Linked DNA regions of Drosophila melanogaster. Changing the gene in region 1 together with any one later gene gives a genetic interaction. Each region holds a gene or a part of one and is shown on either strand. Other genes may lie near its edges. The genes, in order: Chro, grh and east.

The links.
Region 2: of Chro (region 1) and grh, changing one suppresses a phenotype caused by changing the other (phenotypic suppression), as found in Drosophila melanogaster (one study listed by BioGRID).
Region 3: of Chro (region 1) and east, changing one suppresses a phenotype caused by changing the other (phenotypic suppression), as found in Drosophila melanogaster (one study listed by BioGRID).

The regions. Positions count from the first base shown.
Region 1 is NT_037436.4:22,873,181-22,880,629, reverse strand, and holds Chro (chromator), read left to right. Parts: upstream 1-1,645; 5' UTR 1,646-1,996; intron 1,997-2,404; exon of another isoform or gene 2,405-2,611; 5' UTR 2,612-2,635; coding exon 2,636-2,693; intron 2,694-2,754; coding exon 2,755-3,180; intron 3,181-3,241; coding exon 3,242-4,173; intron 4,174-4,239; coding exon 4,240-5,506; intron 5,507-5,930; coding exon 5,931-6,028; 3' UTR 6,029-6,928; downstream 6,929-7,449. Other genes in the region: Ssl1 (suppressor of stem-loop mutation), read right to left, coding at 1-752, 805-1,146, 1,200-1,264; CG11109 (uncharacterized protein), read right to left, coding at 6,942-7,449.
Region 2 is NT_033778.4:17,800,221-17,805,346, forward strand, and holds the start of grh (grainy head), read left to right. Parts: upstream 1-2,025; 5' UTR 2,026-3,171; intron 3,172-5,126. UniProt on the Drosophila melanogaster protein: Transcription factor that binds a CNS-specific regulatory element of the Dopa decarboxylase (Ddc) gene. Also interacts with sequences adjacent to other transcription units, including Ultrabithorax (Ubx) and engrailed (en).
Region 3 is NC_004354.4:2,010,729-2,015,742, forward strand, and holds the start of east (enhanced adult sensory threshold), read left to right. Parts: upstream 1-1,914; 5' UTR 1,915-1,929; intron 1,930-2,392; exon of another isoform or gene 2,393-3,057; intron 3,058-3,613; 5' UTR 3,614-3,793; coding exon 3,794-5,014.

The DNA.
Region 1 (7,449 bases):
CGCAGAAGAACTGCTTGCAGAAACCGCATCTGAAGACGACTTTATCGGCGACCTTGTCAACGCCTTGCCCAAGAGCTTTGGCGCAGCCGTAACATTCCCTGACATCGCTGGTGAGGTCGGATGACGAAGCAGGCATCGCCTCAAACGGCAGTTCCTCAAAATTTGGCACCGGGAAAAGGTGGTGGTAGGAACGCGCCAAGTGCGGCGCGGAGACCAGGGTGAGGCCGCAAGACTGGCACTCCACGGGCAGCTCGCAGTACTTGCTGTTGCATTGCGGGCAGTGGTGGCCAGTAGTGGTCAGTTCACTGGGCTCCTCCAAGTTCTCTATGTGGCACATGCACATGGACAATGGCGCGTCCTTGCCCTCAACTTCATTCTTTGTGTGCGGGAAGCCCATGCGAATAAGCGAGTTGTGCTGAGTCTTAGCGGCGGGCGGTGGATCTACCTGAGACATGAGTTGATCCCGAAAATGTGCATCATCCAAAACAGCCCCGAAGGTGCCCATTGTTTGCTGAGTGAGGTAGCGGGCCACGTGAATCTCAGCGGACAGGGAAATAACCGAGCAGCGTATGCCCTCCTTTTTTAACTCGTCGATGGTGAGGTTAATATCGACAGGATCACATGTGGTGAGCGAGCCCATGATAATGACGATCTCTCGGGAGGCGTGCGACGGCACCACCTTAAGCGATTTTAGGGCCAGATCTAGGCCATTTTGCAGCGAAGGCTCGCTGGTCAAGGACACGTTAGCCAAGCTAAACAAAAAGGGGATATAAATGGAGAACGCTGGTTTGATTCGGTTCTTACCTCTCTAGCGCTTTGAGGTGCACGCGCGAAGTGCCGGTAAGTTCGGTCACCTTCTCCGCTCGCTTAGCTTTTAGCGCTATGAGTCCTAATTGGCTGATGGGGTTCTGATCGAAGAACTCCTCGATAAACAGCTCCAGCAGCTTGACGGTGCACCGCAGTCGTGTGGGTTTCAAATCAGGCACGCTCATGGACTCAGAGCAATCGAGCACAACGAACATGTGGCGCATCATGCCCAGGCGGTTCTGCTTGGACTTTTGAGCCTGCCTCTGGCGTTTGGCCTTCTGAATGATCTCTGCAATGGCTCCATCCAGCATCCCATCCTCGTCGTCCTTGATGGCCTCCCTAATAGGATTAAAAGTAAGTGCGGGCTTACATTGTCACGCACACCATCGCACCATGTCTTTTCATAGCCCGTTTCCCAGCGGTACTCCTTCTGGTCCTCTTGCTCATCGTCGGCCATACTTGCAGTCCTGATGCACTACCAAGTCAAATCAAGAAAGAAAAGCAATTAACGCTAAATAAAATGCGCCGGCTAATGTAACAGTGTGTACACACAGGGCCTACGTTAAATACAATACACTGGGTGGCAACCCTGGGTAAGTATTTATATCAATAAATATCTACAAAAGAATGACATAATAAAATGAAATAATAAAAAATAATTTCGAATTTCTTACCTAATATGAACAAAAAAAGTACAATATTATTATTATTGCGCCCAAAGTTGCCACATCAATAAATATACCCACCACGACGCGTAATTGGCTAACTAAGTGCACCGCCACACGGGCGAACTGAAAAGGGCGCTACACCCTAAGTTTGGGCACTTAAAACCGTGCAAGCATTGAAACCCGCGTTTTATATCATATACTATATTCGAAAAAACCTTCGAAATCTTAAAATTTACTGGACTGCAGTTAGTTTAAAGCTATCGACAGGCAATACACTCCCAGTAATATTAGGATTTAAATAGCTTAGCACAGAAGAGCATTCTAAGGTCCGCACAGCCGGAACCAAATCATCTCTGGACAATTTCCGTGCAGCCGAATTTCGCTTTTGGCATTCAGAGTTCGCGCGTACAACTGTGAGCAGCAGTGGAGCTGCTCGTGTTGAAAAATCGGGAGTCAGTTAAATTAAAATAACCGTTTGAAACAACATTCAGTTTGATATTTATCCAAAATTGTTTATGAAGGTGTGTACCAAAGTGTTCTAGAGAAATCTTTTAATTTAATGATATGTGGAATAGGCTTATTTGCAATCATACCTGGCCTATATCTAGTGCCTGCAAGGTTTAGCGGGCAAAATGAAATTGTGAACTTTGATATTATTTAAACTATATGTAATCCTTTTTTTTAAATGAAAACAAATAGGATCGAACCATAGGGTTTTATTTATTTTAATTTTTAGCTGTGTTGAAGTTCAAATGCATTTGTAACAGATAAGTTTAAGTAACTAATAAAGTCGCATTACGCATAGTTCGTGCTTTTCTGTGTTTTATTATATTATATATCTACAACAGTGCGGCAGGCTCGTTCTTTTCATAATGTACTTAGTGTTTTTTTTCGGCTGCCTAAGCGCCGCTGCATTTTGCCCATTGCAGATGTACATATGCTTGAACTCACCATATCGGACACACACCGCAGACAGCGACCGTTCGCGTTGCCACCTGGTTCAAGTTAGCACAAACACACCACGGCACTGTACTTTTTCTTCGCCGTTTACCAATATTTCAAAACCAAGCAATAACAAATAATAAGACTCCATTCAGCACTATTTTTAAGTCACACTTTAAATGCTCTCTTCAAAGGCTTGGGCGCTGGAGTCGTGAATAATGTTGGCACAGGAGATTTCACCTACGGAAATCGGCAAACACGCAAACATTATAAGAGGTGAGTGACTAAAAACATTGGTAAATAATTTTTATTGTTAATTTTGTGTTCTGCCCTGCAGCTGCACAGGAGGAATTGGCAAACATGGACGTTCTTGTATGTGGACGATGTCTCCGGGCCTACAACTTCGTGGAAGAGTTTCAGGCCCACAAAGAGGACGCCTGCGAAAAGGAAAATGCAAATTTGAAGGAATCGCTCGATCCCAAGCCCACCATCTGGGCTTTTACGCTATGGAAAGCTACTCAGCTGCACTCGCGCAAGGACGCGTCCGGCAGCTCGTGGGCCTTGTACCAGCATTGGGTAAAACTAGACGATAGCGTCCGCGAGCCGTGGATTGTGGCTGGGAAGACCATACAGTCATTCGGCAAAATTGCACACGGACAACTCCAGGACATGCCTGTGCGAATAACAAAGACTGTGGTCAATCCAAACAATAACAACACATCAAATAGCAACAACAACAACACGAGCGTCTCCCCTACCAGAAGTAATACAAAACATTCTAAATAAAAGTCACACTTGTTATTAAACTATATTTAAATCAACAGAATCACCAACCGGTAAGCTGCCTACGTTAGCCAATCAACTAAAGGATACAGAAAACGAAAGACCCAAGTCCAAGCCGAGTACACCAACGCCTTCCTCAGTTCCCTCTGCCGGAGCCGTGAAGCCGAACAACCGCATAGCCATTAGGATCGATTCCAAGACAGATCAGCGCACCGAAGAGCCAGTGGAAAAGATTGTCGCTAAGCGCTTCAATCCGCGCCGTAAGACCCACGAGTATTTGGTTAAGTGGGTTGATCGCTCGCATCATGAAAACACCTGGGAGGTGATGGCCAATCTCGAGCGTGTGCCATACTTTTTGCAGATGTTCGAAAAGCAATTGGCACGCCAAAAACTTACTAGGGAGAAGGGTCTGGATGCTCTGAAGCGCATGCAGTCATCAGGGACAAACGCAAAGTCAGATACTGCCGCCCCACACAGCCCACTTCCGGCGTCGTCGCAGGTATCGCCGTCTTCTCGGCCATCTCGAACTTCCAAGACCAAGGCTATGGATGCCTTTAAGCAGTGGGTCAATGAAACCGTTGCCGGAGATGGATCCTCCTCGCCTTCCTCGGCAAACGAAGATGAATCCTCCACGGAACAGGAATGGCCACCATCTTCTGGAGCGATCAAGCGAAAGCTGAACAATACAGACTCAAGTTTAGAGGGGAGCGGGTTAAACGACTCGATGGACCTAGAGGACCTTGAAGAGGATCTTCCGTCCCATACCGTGAAGCGTCTAAAAAACGGAGGAAGCTCCGTGCAGTTGAACAAGCCACGGATTCAGTCCACGGAAAAGCAGCAGACTAAAATTAACGGCAATTCCACCGTGGTATCGCCCCTAACGGAACAAAAAATGGGTGAAATCATCTATACTGAGGATAGCACGAGCTCCGGCATGTTTCGCAAGCCCGAGATGCCAAACACAATAAATTTGGTATTACGAAATAATGCTATTTCTACGCAGCAGCCAATTAATAACAATGATCTTAATTCGTTGCAGAAAAAGGAGAAACCAGAGTGTCCCGTGCGGTATCTTTCGCGCTCCGAGGTGGGCAGCAGCACAAGAGGCGTTTTTCGGGTTGAAAATTCCGAGGCACCGGCACCCGTTTCGCCTGCACCCGTTCCGCAAAAAGTGATCGCTGCGCCGCCCGCCGCAGGCATAGCCAAGCGTTTGCCAATGGCTCGTCCTGCGCATTCGGGCGCTAACTCGCCCATCACTGTGGGCCAGCGACAACACGCGCTTCGAACTCCCGGCCACGGCCCTGTAACAGCAGCACTTCATCGCCGTCCTGGAGTGGGTGGTGCATCCCATGTGCGTCAAAACTTGCAGCAGGCGCCCGGCCGGGCTCACCCGGGTGGTCGAGTCCTTGCACGAGCCGGTGTCGGAACTCCGCAACATCGCCAACAAGTACAAACTCCTCAGGGTGCCAAGGCAGTTACGCCAGAGCAAAAGATTTTACAGCTGTCAAAGTCAGGGGACTTGAAAGTTACGCGTAAAGTAGTGACCCGGGAAGAGTTGTTGGCTCAGCGCTCTGCCCAGGCACGCCAGCGACAGGCTCTGTCTCAGCAGCAGTCCAGTCAACAACAGAAAGCGACTCCTGCCCGGCAAAGAATAGTTTCCAAGTCAACAATCCAGCCAACGCCCCTGCAAATGGAATTGGAGGAGGAGATTCATCAGCACCAAGCTCAGTTGTGTCCAATCACCGGCAAGCTTATTGGTCAGGAGGAGACCCAACTGCAAATGGAGCAGGAGCAACAGCAGGAGCAACAACGAGAGCAGCTAGAAGCCGCGGCACAGGCCCTTCTGGGCAGCGATCAACAAGTTCTTACCAACGAGGACGGCTCGGCCTTGCTGGTGCGAGGAGAGGACGGCACTGTTTACCAGGTAGCGGGAAAAAATGCGGAGGGACAAACTATTCTCGTTACGCAGGGCCCGGATGGAGAACAGCAATTTGCGTACGTGGCAGCCGCAGAGGGAGAAGACCAGGATGTTCTTTCTCTGGACCACGCAGTGGCCGAAGCCGTTCAAGCCGGTGAACAGGTCGAGTCTCACGGCGTCGGAGCAGCTACGGCGGACGGTGAACAGATTCTCGTGTCCATGACAGAAGAGGAGTTGGCGCAACACCAGGTGCTTCAACAAGCGGAGGCTTCTGCCGCTGGAACGGGAACGCCACCCACAGCTCAGATCCATATCACGACGTCAGACAGCGATGGCACGGAATCCCAGATACCAGCGGAGGTGGTACAGGCAGATTTGCCTTCACCGGGTAAGTCGTGTTTTTCATAAAAATTTGACAAGGCCAGCTTCTTGTGTTGGCTTTTATATCCGTTACTCGTAGAGTAATAATAAAAGTTCATAACAGGTAGAAGGAAGCTTTTTGAAGATATAAAGTATATATTTTCTATTTATAATCAGGATCAATAAGCGAGCAGATCTAGCGTTGTCTGTCTGTATGAACGTAGAGAACTGAATGATTAAGCAGGGATATATATTCGCAGCGCAAGTGCGTTTGTTTCTCGAGGGGTAGATACTATCAGATGATAGTCGATAGCATTTTCTTGCTTTTCTTCTTGCAGAACTATACATTGGGTAGCTTTTTTATAAATCGGAATTGCATAGAAAATTATAGCAATATTTAGGGGATTATTCTTCAAAAACTAACTACTTGTTCATTTTCTGTTTTTTTTCAGGAGGTACACGTCGCGTTGTTTTGTTGCTTCAGGATGGAACCTTCATGATGACTGAGATGCACGAAGATCAGTTTAAGACGCTCAACATCCCAACGTAAAATCATGTTAATAGTATCCGTACATATAATTAGGCTTAGTTCTTAAGACTATTATATTGAAAGAACCTGACGTTGGTGGGTTCTTCCCATTTCCACTTTTGTTTGGTCCTAGCCAATCCATTCTCTTGGCCATAAGTATGCACCAGCACTGACTGAGAGCCGTGTTTGGCGAGTAGTGAATATTATTCTGGCGAAAGCATACCGGGAACCAGAACGCTAAACGTCTAGCGAAACAATAATGCTGCGCCGGGGAAACAAAAGGCATCGAACGATGAAATAAATTATGCGAATACCTTATTTAAAACATTATTTTATCGTGGGAGTCAAGCAGTTTTACGATAATTATCACTGCAGTCAAGGTGAGAGATTCCGCCAGCGTTAAAAGCCTTCATCGATGTTCTCATCATATTTAGTAATTTCCTCAAGCACAAACAAAACATGCATTTATCGGGGTCCCATCAATGATTGGTAATATTTTTGACTTCCTTTTAACTTACAACTCGTAAAATCATTAAGTAAATCTTTGTCGTAGAAAGTTTTAAAGTTCCCGAAATGCATAATTTTGCTTTTAACAAGAATCGTTAAATAACAATGACGGACTTAGATTTAAGTAAAATTACATTAGTTATGAATTGTAAATTATTTAAGTTCTTTTTAACTCGAAAACAAAAAGATAACATTATGTATCTCCATTAAGATAGCACAAGCAGCTATGGGAGAGCAAAGCCTAAATGTTATCAGACTGCATTTTTCAAATGCTTTTCTAAGCGTAGGGTTGAAATTTTCTTGATCAAATACCACTAGCGTAGGTCTCACTTATATCACTCATAAGCCGGCTTACTTTTGCAAATCAAAACGAATGTTTAAATTATCGAGCCCAATAAACAAAAAATTTCAGTGAAGTTGAATTTATTTATATTTTCTGAAACTTCGCAATAAAAAAGCCCACAGTGTCCGCATTTGCTCCGCTTGGACCGAAGCGCTGCAACAGACGAGATTTACATGCCTCGAAACCGGGAAGCGGAAGTCCGGGACCGCCCCACCGGGGAGTGGCATCTGTTAGCCGCAGCTCGACAAATTTTCTTAGTGCCCAGGCCACAAGACATTCGCACTCATCCTCGGTGACGGTGCACGTGCTATATACAAGGATGCCGCCAGGACGAACGAGCTGCACTGCCTGTTCAAATAGCCGGCGCTGAATATGGGGATATGAGGACAAGACCTTAACCTGTTTAATGCTGCAGGACAACTGTGGCCGGTTGCCCAGCCCACTGCAGGGTGCATCGAGCAAGATTCGGTCAAAGCTTTCACATGGAAACGGAGGCCCAGTGAATTCTCCCACGGGTGCAGATGGAGCGTCCGCTGCCACTGCCTCGGTGGAGTTAAAAACATGCGCCGTTATGCTTTTGTAGTGTCCCAAT
Region 2 (5,126 bases), on another chromosome or scaffold:
GTTAGACAAAAATGTCCTGGACAAAGGGACGCGCGGAGGGATGGAATGTTTGTTTGTGAATGCTTCTCTTCGGTTTCTTACTTTTGCATAACGGACAGATATAAGACTTTTTGAAGAAAAAAACCAAATATATAAGTACATTTAATGCGATTGTTGTTTGTTTTTAGTTATATACACCGCCACACTCGCACACAAAACACACACACCGATACATGCATACATATATATACTACTTAGCGGTATATGTACAAAAACGTAATCAAGCATTAGTGAAATGTTTCGACCAGTTAAAAACCACAAATTAAATTTATTACATGAAAATCAACTAATGTGTAAACGCAAAAACGGCAAAATCAATAAATAAAAAATGGATTAAACTAAGCCTAAATTTAGTTTTAAACATTTAATATATTGCAACAATAAACCGAAATGAAAATAAAACTCAAATTCAAACTTGAGATGCAAGTGTTTGTAATTGGGCTCCTGGAACTCAACATATTACATTAAATATTTTTAATTTTATCTTTATTTATTGTTACTTATCATCATGAATGTACTTTTTAAATATTTACTGTAAAATTGCATTTTACATAAATATTTTACATTGCGTAGAATGTCTAGTGCTTCAGTGAAAACTAGCGCCCGCTGCTTTACGTTCTTAACCACAGTTCCACGCGTGCGCAGCGCCAAAAGACAAACAACGTGAATTGGTGAGTGCGGGATCCAAGTGGGGGGAGCTCGGAGGAAAGGAAGCTGGGGGGAGTCACCCTTTACCATGGCGGAAAGCACACAAGCACCGTCCGTCGGTTCGTCCGCCGATCCACACGACACAGCGCTGATTGCCGCGCCGCCTGGCGAGGTGAGGTTGTAGGAGCCCGACTGAGGTTAACCGAAAGCCAGGCCGAGAGAACGGAACAGAGAGCGGCGGAGGCTGCGGCGGCACGGCAGCTACTTGGCGTTTTCGATTGTGGTACATGCACAACTATTTTACGTATGTATGCCACACGGAGAAAAAAATCCTTCATTTCACAGTGCTAACAATTCGAGTTGATTTATTTGATTTTATGTTAAATATATGCAATATTCGTAAATTTTTTTAATATTTAATCATACAAAGTGCTTTAGTGATTTAGCTTGTGTATAGGAAACCTATCAACAGTATTTTATATAAGAATTAAGAGTTGAACTATATTAATTATCTGAACTGCTTAACCGCGGAATAGTTTTCAGAAAGTGCATCTTTGTATCCAGTAATTTTTTGCAGGGACTTCTCTTGGCATGCGGTGATCTCGGTCTTTCTCTCCACCTCTCTCCCGCTGTTGTGTGTGTTTGTTTCTCTACCTGATGCCCGATTGCACTACCACTTTCACGCGGTTTACAAGCCGAATGACAACAACAAAAACAGAACAACAAGGCGGCGAGTTCGAAAGCGAAGTAGAGTGAACCGAGCAGCGAATTCGAATTTTCGACGATGAATGCAATGCCGCAGCACAGAAATAAACGCAAAGTCCGGGAGATACGAAATGCAGGAGCGGTTTGCCCGTGTCGAGGGTGGCTGTGGCTCTCTTTCTTGCCCTCTCTCTTTCTCTCTCTTTTGATCTGCCATCTCCCTTCGCCGCAAGTGCATGCTGAAGTGGAAGGTTCGTTGCCTAAGTCTTTTGTACCTGCCTGCGTTTCGGCCTCTGCAGGTGCACCCACACACACACACACAGATGGAAGCACTGGGCTACCTGTGTTTTAGATCGCACTTGTATGGGTGTTTGGGAGTGTAGAGACAACATCATCGATTCGAATGAATTTGAGTGGCGCTGCGCTGCCGGCGTCGCTGCCGCGTTCGCTCAATATCAGTTACGAAAGAGATGAAACCATAAAAAGCAATAATAATCGAGCGCTCTCTAACCAGCGCCGCGAACACAGACATCACCTTGCCACCAATACAACTGCACGACGACGTCGGCAGAGGTGGCAGCAGCGGCGGCAGCAGCACATTCAACAGTTGAACAATCTCCAATTGACTCTTTGGGCATTATAGCCAAGAGCCGAGATCCAGCGACAGCGACGACAAGTTTTCCGCGCACACGGAAAGTCAGCAAGTTAATACACCGAAAATATATAGTTTCAAATCCGACTAATCGTTTCAAATCGAAATTACCTGTGAGTGCGCGTGTGTGTCGCGATATTTGCGAAAAATCCAAAAGTTTCTACGCCAAACAAACAGCAAAAAGTCGCGCTTAAACTTTTTCGAAATTAAATAAAACACACACACGAATTTCAGCCACGAAGAGGAAGAGAAGGCTGAAAAAGCGAAAAAAAACCTCGTGTGTGTGTGCGTGTGTGTTGAGTGCGAGAGTATCTGTGTGTGTGTACGTGTGCATGTCTCTCGGAGAGCGTGAGCTTAAAGTGTGCCTGTGTGTGTGCGCTTGCGAGCTGGAATGAGACGCCATCAAAGCTGAGCAGCGAATAATAAAATGCAAAATAAAAATAGTGATTAATAACAGCAGCCAGAACCAGCAGCAATAACAAATGCTAGTGCGGAAAGCGCGTAAAAAATAGTGAAAATACTCATAGAAAAATAGAAAAAACAACAACAAATTGGCTTGAAAACGCAAATGCCAGGCGCAACGCCCCCGAACCGACCCGCCCCCTCAACTTTTGCGCCCTCCAGTAGCAATAGCAGCAATATGAGCAGCAGCAACATCAAATGTTAGGCCAAAATGCACAAACCGCCAGCAACAAAGGCAGCACCAAGCGAACGAAACAACAACAGCTCCACATACCACAAAGAGTGGCACATTAGAAGCGGCCAAAAGCAGCCAGCCGAGAGCATTGTGTAAGCCAAAGGCCCAGAGAGCCAGGCTAAAAGCCCCCAGACGCACAACAACAACAACAACAACTAAAACAGCACAAAGAGTGGCGAAAGGTGCACCCACCAGCAAAACAGCAACAACGGAGCAACCAACAACAGCAGCAGCAGCAGCAGCAGCCACATTTCAGTTACAGCTCCAGACTCCCAGGTTGCAGACTCCCAAAGCAAACAGACTCCAGTCCACGATCCAGCTCCAGTTCCACCGATCCGATCCACTGCTCCAGCGTGCTCGAGTGCCATAGATCCTCACCAAGTGCCAAAATCCGCATCCTGATCCCAAGAGCTCAAGGCACCCCGGCCCAAAAGTGAGTAGTACTTAGCCTACCAAGAAGTAATTATAAACGCATCAGGCTATGTAGCCCTGGTCGGTTCATGGAGGGATTACACCGTCAGAAATATAGCACCCTATTGACCATTTGGTTTTCGGCTTATAGATCCCTTTTTTCGGGAGATTCCATCACAATAGCTGGTATTCCCAATAAAGAGAGCAATAAAAGCGGGCATTTTTTGGGCACTACTAGGGTGTAGAAACTTTTCAAAAATAAATATTTTTCAAAACTTGATATTTTTAAAAAACATATGGTATTACCAAACTATAAGATATATTTTAGCTAGATTTATACATAGTACGTCAAGTTGATTCGATGGAGTTAATAGAAAAATGGTAATTGGATATTATTTCGATATTATTTGACAACGACAATCTCATAGAAATATTTTTAAACAATTTTGCTGGAGATGTAGGCATAAAATCCATTTAGTTCGTGCGGTTTTAAATTAAAATGCATTCTGCATGTTTTTTTAATAAGTTTTATTATATCTATACGGCTAGGCATTTTAAATGATTTCAAATGTATTGAAACTAAACGATTTCATTACCCTGCTGGCCAGTGTTGCTTTTGAAAGCCTTCGTTCACAGTGGACACCCTGTATGTTGTGCAGACGTAGCCTAAGTCTCTTGGTCCCAGCCTCAACTCGTGTTGTTGTTGTTGTTGTTGTCATTGTTGCTGTTGCTGTTGCCGTTGTGTTGTTGGTGGTATCTTTCGCGCACACATTCCTCTTTGTTTGGTTTTATTTTGTATTTCGTATTTCGAAGTGGCCGCTGCGCAGCGGCAGCGGCAGGTAAGTCGCACAGGTATTGGTATTGCTGTCATATTGCCGTTGTGCTCCCAACAATACCTTGCTAGAGCGGGAGAGTTGGCCATAAAGAGCGGTAGCGAGAAGGGATCAAGACGCCTCTGTCTCGGTCTCGGCCTCTGCCTCTGCGTCGACGTCTACTGCGCAGCCTTCTTGTTCGAAAATCGATGATGTTGCCCAGTGTTTGTGATTACGTTTTCCCCTGGACTTTTGTGCTGCCTTTTGCCTCTTATGTTCTCAGCTTCTTTTTATTATGATTTTTATTTTCTTTCTTTTTTTTTTTTTTTTGATTTTTTCCCTTCTTGATGATGGTGATCAATTTGGGGCTGCGATTATGGTACAGTAAAATGAACATCTACGCAGCACTCACACCGCCAGACACACAGATACATTCAGCCGTGAGATACACACGCACACAGCGAAACAGGCACATGTAACCCACACACAAAAAAAAGGGGGAACTTCGTGAGAGAGTTATTTTATTTTCGTGTTCGTGTTAACGTTTATTGTTTTTCTTTTCTTTAGCCTTTCTTCGTTTCTTCGGGACTTCTTGACTCCGTCTTGCAGCCGTTCCCGTTCCCCTTCGCGCTCGCCACCCCTGCCCCATCCATGCACGCCTTTATTTCCCTGAACATTCCCAAATACACGGAGAGAAAAGGGGATGCATTGATGGTGATATTATGAGGATTTATTTATGCATATAATTATTCTTAAAGAGGCTAAGAAGTCAAAAGCTAAAATAAAATCGTTTCAATGAGTTTCTATATCATCAGATTAATAATATAACTCAAAGTTTTGAATCGACATGGCATTTCTTGCCGTGTACCATCTACCAACTCTCCAGTCTCAGTCATTGGTTATTGATGCCCAACAACTCTGACCGTTGATGTCTTAGGGTTACGCTGCGCATTTCTTCTCTTGTCTTTTCTCCACCTCTCCCATCTACCCCTCTCCATCCCCCCCCTACATTCACGCGAAGTAAGGTAAAGATACGTAAAATCCAAATTTCAAATTATGTCAAATCTTAATGGGATTTGAAATGGAATTGCTTTCGGTATTCACTGTGTATCTGAAATCGGTGGTATCGGGGGGAATGGTGATCGTGGTTTGGGGGATAATAAAG
Region 3 (5,014 bases), on another chromosome or scaffold:
CGGCCATTACGTTTTCCAATTGCCTTTGGCGCAGCCACACACAACACAAAACACACAAAGCGTGTGTGTGCGGCTGCCAATGTAGATGTACATGTTGATGTGCGCCCGCAAAGAAAAATCGTTTTCTAGGTGGAATTATTCAAGTGGGCGTCGTGCGAAAGTATTTCCGTGGCGAAAACTAGTTTAAGAATCGCGAGATTCACCCAATCTTAGTCAGGATCAAAGGAGAAAGGTAAGAAAGACGCCAGGGCGGGCAAGCAACTAGGATAATCGATCGCAATGGCCTTGGTTACTAGTTGGTGATGTCAGTGGCGACGGAAATGGAAGTCCTGGCCACGCACTTGACCCAGTTCGGGAAAATCGCTTTTCTAGTCCCTCCAGAAGCGGCCGAATGGAAAGCGGGCGGAAGAACCATGCATAAAGCTATTGATTTTCCCTCATTTCCCAAGCAATTAAGGCCTTTGCCTTTAACCCAGTTACACGTACATATATCCATATGTACATAAGAACATACAAATGTCGGCATCTACATAATCGCAATGGTCCTTGGGCGGGTGCGAAAGTGGATAAACGGGAGAACCCTTGAGAGCGGGTGGGAGTTGGGCTAAGGACGTCGCCTGACACTTGCAGGATTCAGATTCAGATCTAGCCGCCTGCCGCCCTCCCTTTCGGGAAATGGAAGCTTGTGAAACGTGCAACAACCTACGCCACAGCATCACAAGTTGAGGAAAACCAGGGAAAATCCGCAGGAAAACCGAAAAGGAGTAGGGCAAGTCTGGCGCTCGGTGGTGGCGCTCGCTTCTTCCCAATTACCACCCCCGAATCAACGACATGTTATTTTGCCGAGTCCTTTTTTTGCTTTTTACCGACGCAGAAAAAAAGACGCATCAGCAGCACCAACAACAACAGCCGACGTCGCGGCGAAAAGAGCGAACAAACATTTGCCAAAAACAACACGTACACCGGACGAAAACGCACGTCGACCTGTTCACTTCCCTACAAAAACAGAGTTGCGAAACATCCCAAGTGGTAACGTCAATCCTTTTGTTGCAATGAGTGCAAAACAATTTTTAAAACAATTGTATTTATTGACTATTTTACTTATTTTTATTATTATTTTTTAAGTGCATTGTCAGTTGGAATTTCAATGTTCCCATTATTTATAGAAGTTGACCCAGCAAATGTTTCAATTTACGCGCGATTATGCTTTTTAATATGACTGACATAAATCAAATCTGTATAAATGCAAGATATGAAAATTATTAATTTCAAAAGCATTCCCAAGGGAAAAGTAAAAAATTAAAAGTTTAATTAGTCAGGACAAAGCTATCCGAATGCAACTTCTTTGAACTCATGATGGCGACGAGGAATACATCCTGGCGACGGCAGGACAGGCAGCCCTCCCCGCCGCCCACAAGCAGGGTTGCATGCACGCCAAGCCAAATCCGAAAGCAAATCGGGGCCGATAGTGCATAATATCGTGCGGCGAAGAGCGAGACGAAGAGTCGTGGCGAGTTGTGGCGAATTGAGGTTTTGCGCCGTCGGGCCGAGCGTCGCTCTTTTGCTCTTCATCTTGGCTCGTTATTTCGCTTCGCACCGTGTTTGCGTTCACAACTCTTGTTCGGGTTCTGCATTTTATTTTATTATTATTTTTTTTTGTTTGTTGCTATTCGGTGAGTACCTGCGGAAAAGTAAGGCAAGGCGATGAATGAAAGGAACAAAAAGGAAAAGAAAACGAAATGAAAAGCCATGCAAAGGGTTTTCCTCGTCAACTCGCTTGTTTGTGTTTTGTGTGCAAAGTGCCTGGTGAAAAGATGTACTCGCCGTACTGCCAAATGAGAAAACGGCAGGCGTTCGTTTATTAATGCTCGCGTTCGTATTTTTGCGAAAACCTGGTGAAAAAGAAATTTTCTGTGCTCGCTACTGCCTGTGAGTGTGTGTGAGTGAGTGTGCGTGTGCCTGTGCGCTGCTCGTGTCTGTGTGCGCTCGCTTTGGGTGTGCATGTACGTCACTGCCACCCATTTTTGTGTGCTGTTCTGGTTCTTCGTCCCGTCTCGTGTCGCCTCGCTGTTCCCTCCTAGCCGTCCCTTGCGGTTTTTGCTGCAACTCTGCGGAAACTCTCCACGAATTCCCCCCTTGCCTAGCGCACGAAGAGGATGGCAGCTCTGCCAATTCTTTGGTAACTTTTCCGCCTAGTGAAAACTGCTGCCAGTTTCCGTTCGCTTCAGGTACTCCGCTTCTTCCGTTCCGTCCAACTGACTGTCTGCCCGTGTTTACAATCGCGGCGTTTTTGCACACTGTGCCGTGCGTCTGTGTGAGTTCTACTTGGTGGTATATCTGTGTACATGTACACACATCGATACGACAGCGGAGTCTTCATTTTGTTATTGCCATTCTCTTTCACTTCCTTTTCGCCTGCTTTGTTGCTGTCGTCGCTGTGACAGTTATGCTAGTTGTTAGTGTGCGTGTCGTGTCCGTGTGAGTTTTCCGCGTTTCTTCGCCGGTGCGAACTGCAATCTGAAATCTCGCACTCGCGCTAAAATGGCGCATGTCAGAATCGAAATTAAAATCATAAGCCAAAAGCTACTCTGATCGTCAGGCCACGAAGAAGCGGAGAAAGAAGATGAAGAAGGAGGACCAGCAAGCGGCAACAGCAGAAGCAGGATACCTAACCAATTTGAGGATTATTCAACATCTCATCGACTCTTCAGCTTCTCTTCTCAGCCTTGCCCAGTTGCTGCTTCTTCCGACTCTGCTCTTCTCTCCTCTACACGCCACTCGTCTCCTCTGCTCTTTTCTCGTTTTGCTTTCCTCGCATTCTCGCAGCTCCCAGCTGCTGCCAAAACTTGTTTTCAGCAGCGATAGAAAAGAGGGGCAATGGAGCTGGACAGTGGCTGGCAAGGAGAAGAGGGGGTTTCTGGAAACCGCAAAAGCATGTTTAATGTTCTAGTCGCGTTACTGGACTCCGAATCGGAATCGAGTGAACGGATCGGATCGGATTGTCCTGGGGATTGAATGAGCTAAAAGGGGCTAAGAGAGCGGCTTACTTTCGGCCAGGTGAAAGCCAGGGCCATAAAACTAAGTTTACCACATTACCGCTTAGGATTTCGCTTCGGCTCAGATTAGCTGTTATACTGAAGTTTGGAGATTAAAGTCCTTTGATAATATTCTTTTAGTTGGATTGAATCGACTTAATAGTTGATTAGTTTGGAGAAAACACAACAATGTTGAGTTACAACTAAAAATTTGATTTATCTAAGTGAGCATATACATTATGACTTAGCAATCCAAAGGCTTATCAAAGTTTTCAATGCTTATCAGGGATTTTACAGGTGGGATGGGATTTCCATTCACTTAACAAGTTTGAATTTAGAAGATAACGAAAATATTTTGGTCTTCCAGAACGATTTTATAAGAGCATTATAATTAAAGTTGAAAGGATGCAAAAGAAACCCAGAATGGCGTTTCTTTTTGTTTTTTAAATCTAGTGCAGAATTTAACCTACTTCTGGGTTGAGCTGTTTTTGCTTTGCCAATTAGAACGTTATTCCCACATGGCGGATTAGTAATACGACTTAGTAACTTTCTTTTTCCCCTTCTTCGCGTCCTTGCAGATATTCTTCACATCACAGTCAACCAATGGGACCAAATCACTGCGACTCGAACTGGACACAATCAGCATCGGATCGCAGGGAACAACAGGAGGTGGTGGAGCAGCAGCGCCAGAAGGCGTCGGGGGAGCGGCCATCATAGGAGCAGCAACGTCGGCAGCAGCTGCCCAGGGCCCCTCGAGAATGTCTAGCCGGAAGGTGCCAGGAGGCTCTGGAGGAGCTGACGAATCCACAGCAGCAGCTGCCCCCCTGGATGATAATGCCAATGCCAGTGTGGAGATTCCAGACAGCAGCGAGGAGCCAGCAATGGGCGTCGGCGAAGAGATGTCTATCATAAGCAAAACACGCACCTCAACTTTGTCAGTGGAGCCCGCTAAGGAGCCAACAGTAACAGCAGAGCTGGAAGGCGAAAAAGAGCTGGAATCGAATCCAGTCTCCAAAACTCCTAGGTCCACGCCTACGCCAACCCTTACGCCAGCCGTCACGCCTACCGCCAGTGATGGAGTGGCGGCCAAGAGCGTGAGGGTTACCCGGCACTCGTCGCCACTGCTTCTGATCATCTCGCCCACGACAAGTAGACGTGAGGTCGGCGACGGAGAGCTAGACACCGAGGAACCAACGGGATCGGGTGGCCAAAGAAAGAGCTCCGTGGAGCGATCTTTGGCGCCCGTTATACGCGGACGAAAGTCCATCAAGGATCTGAAAGAAGCCAAAGAAGTCAAGTCCGAGGAGCCGCCTGCCGCAGCATCAGAGTCACGAGCTGCAAGTGGAGTGACGCCTGGCCAGGTCAAGGAACAGCATGTCGCGGATGGCAACGAAATGGAATCCTTGCCAATCACAGACAAGAAAGACCACAAAGACACAAAAGACAAGGGAGATGAGCGGGAAACCGATCAGGAGGAAGAGAAGGAAAAATCAGCTGATACAGAAATAATTGCAGATACAGAAAAAACTTCGGAGAAACAAAAGTATACAGAGAAGGACAAAGCTGCCGATAAAGATGGAGGAAAAGAAAAAGATATTGATGCAAATAAGGATATAGATAAGGAGAAGGAAAAGGTCAAGGAAGTACTTCCGCCAGTGGTGCCTATAGCACCAGTGACACCCACTTGTAACCGTGTCACACGTAAATCACATGCCCAGGAGCAGGCGATTAACACGCGGGTCACTCGCAATCGTCGCCAGTCCTCTACAGTTGGAGCCAACTCCACCGCGTCTTTGGTAGCTGCATCCTCCTCAGTAACAGAGCAACCCCCTCCATCTCGCGGTCGACGGAAGAAGCCAGTGGTGGTGGCTCCTCCCTTGGAGCCTGCGGTAAAACGGAAGCGATCGCAAGATGTTGAAGCCGACTCAGACGCCAACAACAGCACGAAATACAGCAAGGTGGAAGTGGTAAAGTCTGAG